2 linked regions of the Drosophila melanogaster genome follow. The protein of the gene in region 2 interacts with the protein of the main gene of each other region in a pairwise test. Each region holds a gene or a part of one and is shown on either strand. Other genes may lie near its edges.

Region 1 (3,938 bases), on a different chromosome or scaffold from region 2:
GGCCAGGAGCATATCTGGACAGCCGGCGCCCTATTCCGTTTGCACGTATTTGAAGGACGACGAGGTCTACAACATGATCACACCGGAGCAGGATGAAAAGGAAAAGAGTGCTCGTTGCCGCTTTAATGGACGTTTGCTCCTCAGCTGGCTGCAAGATGTTGATGACAAGTGGGAGAAAATTAAGGTATGCTGACCCTAAACAAAATATTTTTCGTTGTAAATCTTAATTGTTGTTACCTTTGAAGGAGTCCATGGTGTTGCGGCATCATAACGAGGCGGAAAGTCTGCACGCCGTGCAGGTGATGGATTGGAATATATTTGCAAAACGAAATAGGCTATGTGACAACCCGATTGAAGTTAATTTGGAGCACGTTCCGATCGTTTCAGTTGGTGACGACTTTGACACATTGCCAACATAACTGACGCATTGAAATTAATAAATTTTTACAAGATTATAAACACAGGAATGTGTTTCTTCGAAAGATTTGTGAACTAGAGATACTTTCAAAGCCCATTTTATTTAACTTAACATTTACGTGAAAAATCGATTTGTTTTTAATGTGCACTTAAGTTGTCAAAAATATTTCTTGCATAATTAACCATGTCCTGTAAATAAAGTAGGTATGAAATTTGATACATAACAATAGATATATAAAATAATCTTACTTCACACGTTTCCGACTGTTTGTTTTTGGAAATAATTTGTTGAAGCTTCGATAGGATTTCCTCTCGTTTTTCCGTAGAGAGTTTTAACTCCGATTCCCGCGAAAGAGATGAAAGTGCAAAAAGCGTAGTTTCTTGTTTGATATCAAAGTCATCAACGGGCTTAAGGTTTTCCACTAGCACAGGAAACACTTCTTCCTTCACAAAATCATCTGATGGGAATACAAATAATTAGGATTTCAAACACTGGGTTATAATTACTACTTCAATTTACCTCTGACAGACTTCTCGATTGAAGTTAACGATGCAATTAGAAAAGCAGTCTTCACGTAGACATTTGTATTTGTGGATTTCAGACAGGGTATCAAGGACCTGATCCCCTTTATGCGCTTAAACTCGTCGTATCCAGGCTGAAAGTTCCTTATCAGCGATGATATCGCATACAAGGAGCACCGCACGGTATTCGGATTCGAATGGCTCAAGTTCTTTGCAAGTGCAGGCAAAAACTTATCGTTTATGAGGGCGTTCTGACAAAATACATTATTCTGGGCCACTTCAGCGACAGTATTGAGTGCCGATTCTCGCACTTCGCTATCCGAATGTGTTATGTAGCGGAGTAGAGTTGCAGTTCCTCCTAGCTTCACCAGCGTTATGGCATTGTCGATGTCATCGATGTGGCTCCTTATGACATCCAGACTCTCGATTTGGTCGTCCGTGCTGGATTCTTCGCTGTTCAAGATCACCAAAGCTGCTTTCAGGGCCGCTGCAGCATCCACTGTCATGGCATTTAGGGCATTTGCCAAAAACTGAGCTCTCTGAAAAATAAAATATTTTATATATTGTAGCTCCAAGTAACTAGTCAATAACTAATGTTATACTTTGTTATATCAAAAAGAGCTTTCATACTACTGTACAAAGTGCCAGAAAAGTAATTTCCAAACAAATTTGGCTTTCAATAGAAGTTCCATTTGGAGGAGCACATGGCCAAATACATAGGTTCTAGATGATTCGATTGACTCACTGCTTAGGACACACTTGTGAATTATTCAGAAAGTATAACTACTTGAGGTGTTTTAAAGCCTAACACAATAACTATTCTAAATATTTGTAAAATTCTCTCAATTTGAGCTGTTTACATACCTCAGGATCGGGAGTTTCCAACTTTGGGGCTGCTTCTGGATTTGGATCGTGGTGTTGCACCGTATATTTCAGAACATTCTAAGAAAAATATACATTTTATTGAAGTTCACTAGATACTCTACCCAAATTACTTGCCTGCAAGCTTAGGGCTCCTCTTGGCACGTTTGGATCGGTCATTTTGGGAAATAGACTCTGTAGCAATCACAATAAAATTTTTGTTTTTAACAATAATTAGTGATGGAATTTCAAGAATATCGCACAAGACCGATATCCGATACCAATCTGATTGATAGCTACATCGGCAAAACATCATTTACATATATTTCAAACTTAAGCAACACCCGAAATTAGGACTGATATATATTATCTTATTAACTACTTCCCATTTAAATTATTTATGAAATAAATAAACCAAAGAAACCACTTGTTTATTCAACTACAATCCAATCCCACAACCTGTTCCGATTCCACTTGTTCCATTTGTGACTCGGCAATATTTATGCGGTGTAGATAGTCCCCAATCATATGTTTATAGTTGTGGTTTTAGGGCATGAATTAAAAACAAATATTTAATAGGATTAGCGTCAGTGGTTAATAAACAAGCATGTTGCGAGACCTCATAACGTGGGTGCTGAACACGTATCTGGGAAAGTATCTGGAGAACTTGAATTCCGCCCAATTGTCGGTGGCACTGCTCTCGGGTACTGTGATATAATTGTTTATCTTTATTCCGCATCGCATAAACAATATATTTTCCCGCAGGCGAAGTTGAGCTCGAGAACATACCCATACGCAAAGATGCCCTCCGCTCGTTCAATTTGCCGGTCGAAGTCACCGCCGGCAGTATCCGTAAAATCAAACTCCAGATTCCGGTCCGCCAGTTCAGGACATCGCCATGGTGCATCTCCATCGAGGGCCTGTTCTGCATCATCTGTCCGAAGAACCTGGACAACTGGGACTACGAGAAGGAGAAGTTGCAGGATTTGGAGTATAAGCTGGCCGTGCTGGACACCGCAGAAGCAGGCTGGCGTTCCGAAAAGGGCAAACAAATGGAGTCTTACTACTTCTCATCCTACAATAACTGGCTGAAGTATGGCACCAACATGGCCACCAACATCATTGACAACATTGAACTCAAGATATCCGATGTGCACTTTCGGTTCGAGGACATCGTGGACACCGGCAAGAGCAAGATATGCACGGGCATCAAGATTGGATCTCTGACCGCCCAGAGCTGCGACTGTGATTGGACCAATGGGTCCTACAAAATGAACAACAACGAAATGAACTACAAGCTGGTGGAGCTCAAAGAGCTCTCGGTCTACTGGGATTTGTTGCACGAGGACATCAAATGTCAGTCGTACTCTAACCAGGAGATTCTCGAAAAAATGCACTCCACCTGCGAACTGAGGTCCCACAATTTCATCATCAAGCCCATTTGTGCAACGGCCAGGTGGAAGCGCGATAAATGCCAGCAGGTGATACGTACCAAAGACAAACCCAGGGTTTCCTGTGAACTCCTGGTTCCCGAGGTGGTCATAGACATATCTAAGGTAACTAAGCCCAACTTGAAGCCACAAATAACACTTAAATGAGACGTAATTTACTGAGGTCCAAAGTTCATCAGAATTAGGTACATATTTCGATTGCTTTTTAAGCGATTATCAAACAATACATTTTATTCGTGAATGAATAATATTGGTTCAATATCAATCACCAACAAATTTGCTTATTTCTATCTAACCAAGCCCCAAAATGAACTTGTACCCCAATAAACACAGTTGTACTTCCCATGACGCAGTTGTTATCACCATATTTGATATGCTTATTATTTGTTTTAATAAATTATTTTAATATTTCCAGGTCCAGCGACTGCAAATGTTAGATAAGCTGTCAGAAATCCGTCAGGTTAAGGAAGTTCGACAATACAGGCTAAAGCGACCCACATGCACCGTAGAAAGTAATCCAATCGCATGGTGGAAATACGCCACCATATGCCATGGATTTGACTTTAAGAAAAATGAGGAAAAGTGGTTAATGCTCAAGGAAAATCTTCGTTACATGCTGCTCTACAAATCAATTATATTAAATCCCAACGAAAATCTATCCGCTGCAGATAAGGAGTTTAAAGCCTA
Region 2 (4,387 bases):
TTTCACACGCCGCTCCCAGCCAGACATCCATCAGCCGCAGAACGAGGAGAACTGGCAGGGGCAGGCGGATAAGGGCCAACCACCATCCGGAAAGGAGGAAAGCGAGCTGGTGCGGAATGCCCAGCAGACCACTCAGTACATGAACTATTTGTCGGCCCAGAAATGAGTTTATACACTTTACGAAGTCATCCACATGTACGAAAATTGTTTTTGAAGTCCGTTTAGAAGTTATTTGTTTCGCCTTCGTATATGTTTCCTAATGGATGTGTATATCCACGTAGACTGTTTTCACATTATTTTGTCTTCAACTGAGCTCAAATGTTAAACCAATACAAAACAATTTAGACCAATCACAAAACAAATCCATCTCAAATCCAGGCTTAAAGAATATTAAGCATGCATGCATTACACATTGGAGCCACTAAATTTGTAAATACCAATTATATATATATGAATGTCTTGTGTAGTCCCACACAACCACGCCACATAAACACTCCCACACAAAATACAGTCACACACACTCATTTTTATATTTATATATACAAATTGCTTAGAAACTAAGTACAAAGTCAATGAAAAAACAAAAATAATCCTATTTCTATTGAAAAGTAAAACGCCTGTTGGTGAAATGTTAAAAGCATGTTGAACATATAAAAATTTGTATTTTTAGCTAAATATATACTTATATATTAAATGTCATGTTATAGTGCAGGTTCAGCCGATTTATTAAACGAATTATACAAGCTTACGTATTTTTAAAGCAAATTTTGTGAGGCCCTCTGTTGGAACAACAAAGCCAAGCCGGAGTGCAGAGAAAAACATGAATTGTAGAGTTATACGAGTAGTCTTATATAGATACTTAAACCTCTTTGTTTAGGTATAATCAATATGTTCGCAACATGCGTAGGTTCAAAACACTAATCAGCATATAAATAGCGTCTAACACATTTTTAATAAAACAAAAAAATTGCATTATCATTAATCAAACATTAAAACAAATTCTTTTGAAAACTTTTGAAATCACCAGCAGAATGTCATAGTCTTACCTCCGTATTTACATCACCTGATTGGATGAATGTATTTTCCGAATCCTTGTGGGTGACTCCCCTCGTCTTCTGCGTTTCCACTTTCCAGAACTTCTGTGGGCAACTCTCGGTTGTGCATACTTTACAAAAGCGATAGTAAGAAAGCTTTAAGACCGCAGTTTTTATTAATCTTGCCATTTTGAAGACAGTTGGTCCGTTTTAGATACAATATACAAAAAACCAAGATTTCCGTTTATCGTAGGCATTGATCAAGTCAAGGTCAAAATATTTTTAAACCCGTGTCTAGTCACAAACATCTTCACTTTCCAAACTATTATAAAGAATTGCATACTTGAGGGCAGCAAATAGCAGACTAACTTATACATATGTATATGGGGACTTTTATTTGTACATAATTTGCTGGCAGTCAAAACAAAGTTATCAATTTTTCGCTTGATTAAAGAAATTGGGGACAAATCTTGGCTTACTGATAAGCGAATTTAAAACAAGTACAGAAATAATAGATCCGATTTTTTTCAAAAATAGAATAAGACGTACATATGTATTTATAACACAGATTCATACAATAAGGCATAAGAGATTTAAGATATCAGCAGCATCATCGATCTGCCTGGTCACGTGGGGTGACCACCAGGACTTCGTAGGTGTTTACGCTCACCTCTTGACCATGATGCGGGATGTACATGACCTTGTGGGAAGGATGCACCTTGCCCAGACGCAGGATACCCTGGTAAAGACCACGACCCGTGTAGGTGACCTCACCCAGCTCGGAGTAGCCCGTGTTCAGAGCATCCCGCGGATATGTTCCATGCTGTCCGGGCACCCACTTGTAGTCACAGTCGTTGAGCACCAGGATCTCGACATCATCGGTCAGAGTTCGGGCGCTACAGCTGTGCGAACCGAAGGCAGCCTTCTTTTCCGGTACATAAGGAGCAGGCAGGAGATCGTCGTGGTAATATCCTCTGGCCACATACGTGGGCAGTCCGTCTTCGTTGGTGCCACACTGCACAGCTCCCTCGGGCGGCAGGTGGGCATCCGGTAAGCTGTCTCTGTCCAGATCAATGGGCACCCAATCCATGGCCACCTTGGGCAATTCGGTGTCATCGAACTCCGGGGCCTCGGCGAAGTTTAGGTACAATCGGTGCACGCGTCGTCGGTCGCATGGGTCTCTGCATTGGGGGCAGGTCCTGGACCTATTCAGCCATCGGGTGAGGCAGTCCTTGTGGAATACATGACCGCACCGTGAAGTTGAGAAAATTATGTCGTTGGCCCGGAAAAACTCGTTGCAAATTGCACATAAAATGTTCAGTGAAGGTGATGAGTCATTTGTGGGTGCAGTTTCTGCGATTTTTCCGCCGTTACCTTCCATTTCACTACTATTACTCTCCATAACTACGTCCCTATGGATACTGAGCTTTGAATATGTGTGGCTCTATTCTTCTGTTCCAAATTTATTTCACAACAATGAGCGGAAAACGAAACGATTCGTATCAACTTTCCTGCTTTATTAGAGATGACCTCTGGAGAATACCAAATATACTAGAAATACTGTTATTTTAATAAGTTTGAATCTTGATTGAAAATAATCCTTTAAATATCTTATAGCATTAAGTAAGTAACATTTATATTAAGTAACATTTATATTAGCGTCTTAATCATAACTCTATTTTGGCTAAGATAATGTACTGTGCTATCATTTTGTGGTTATCTACTGGATCTTTACTTTGTATTAAAGTAGCGTTTCAAACCTGCACCAGTACTTCGTTGGTGCCAACGTTAACCTCTTGACCGTGCTGCGGGATGTACATGACCTTATGGGAAGAATGTACCTTGCCCAGACGCATGATGTCCGTCCTCGTTAGTGCCGCACTGCACTGCTTCCTCGGGCGGCAGGTGGGCATCCGATAAGCTGTCTCTGTCCAGATTCATGAGCAGAGGGTGCTCGGGAAAATCCCTGTTATTCTTGTGAGTCAGAGGACAGGCTTTTAACCGGGTACTTCTGCGAACAAGTTCGTCGTGAATGCACCTGTGGCCCATTGTCTGTTCGGGAATTAGTTTCCGAATCCGGTATGGCGATGGGTCATTTGTGGGTGCTTCTCAATTTTCCATTTCTTTGCTGTTACCATCCATATCTGAATCCCTTTACACACTGAGCTTTAAATACGTATGGCGCACTTGTTTTATTTTAAAATTAACGGATACGAGCTTTATAGAGATGGACTTTAAGTAGTGCCAGAAATACTGTTATTTTTATATTTCGTAAGTTTACATGGATCTCAAACGCTTATAACATTTAATTTCAAACTTTTTGCTAATATTTAGGTCTCAAGGTTTCAGAACAATTTTGTTTTATTTTGTTATAGATTTTTACTAAATAGACTAATTAAAGTGTATGCCAGTTGTTAAACAAATGTATTTCATAATCAGGAAGTCAAATATGTAATGTATATATATAATAAATTTGGATTTTATAGCTAAAAACTAATAAAAGGTTCACCTGTGCTCAATAATAGTTTCAAATACTGTTCAGGTCATTTTTAACACAAGAATTTATAAATATTTAAAATTAGCTATCGATAAGTGGCACCAGGTACTTACGATACTCAACCGATCTGGCAACGACGCGCGGTACGTGGCTTCGGGACACGGAAAACAATTTTACGGGAAAAGCTAAACAAATTATGTACAATTCGCAATAAATCCGAAAAGATATAGGGACAAACACCAGACGGAGAAGAGGAGCACAAAAGGCTGCATGAACTGTAAGTGCCAAGGACCAGATACCCGTTTCTTTTTCTGCGTTCACCCGTATCCTTTCACTTTTAATTGCTAAGTTCAACATACAACTACAAATGGATATTCAGCTGATTTACAGCTAGTGCGGTTTCTCAATGGCTCAAATTATGTTTCCCAAACTTGCCGCCACTCCAATGGAAACAAGTTAATGTGCGCATAATATGCAAATTTTCTGTTTGTTTTGGTTTGCCAAAATACAAACAATACATACATATGTACGCAAGTACATAGTACATATCTATGTTTGGCACACACACTGACGCATTAACTGCGCTCTTTGTTTGCCGCCTATAAATAAACGCCAAAAAATGCGTACGAGATTATGCCATTTGTTGCTTTTCAGCTGTGCTTTGCGTACGTCAACAAAGCTTTATTATATAAACAAATACAAAACGGCAATCAGCTGTTTCTAACAAAAAATAAACGGTTGAATAGCCTTGTCATTATCATTGTTTATTGTGCTTTGCCATAGATATATGTATGTATGTACAATGGCCATTTCACTATTAAACGAAATTATTAGAACGGCTAATTAAACTCTCTAT

Evidence for each region.
Region 1: the proteins of CG10916 (region 2) and CG10973 interact in a two-hybrid assay, tested with the Drosophila melanogaster proteins (one large-scale study listed by BioGRID).

What each region holds. Positions count from the first base shown.
Region 1 is NT_037436.4:12,752,739-12,756,676, forward strand, and holds CG10973 (uncharacterized protein), read right to left. Parts: upstream 2,037-3,938; 5' UTR 1,981-2,036; coding exon 1,939-1,980; intron 1,882-1,938; coding exon 1,804-1,881; intron 1,479-1,803; coding exon 938-1,478; intron 876-937; coding exon 667-875; intron 665-666; exon of another isoform or gene 607-664; coding exon 556-606; 3' UTR 501-555; downstream 1-500. Other genes in the region: CG10984 (uncharacterized protein), read left to right, coding at 1-184, 246-419; Vps13D (vacuolar protein sorting 13D), read left to right, coding at 2,408-2,504, 2,566-3,356, 3,667-3,938.
Region 2 is NT_033778.4:18,171,859-18,176,245, reverse strand, and holds CG10916 (uncharacterized protein), read right to left. Parts: upstream 2,578-4,387; 5' UTR 2,437-2,577; coding exon 1,645-2,436; 3' UTR 521-1,644; downstream 1-520. Other genes in the region: CG5726 (uncharacterized protein), read left to right, coding at 1-166.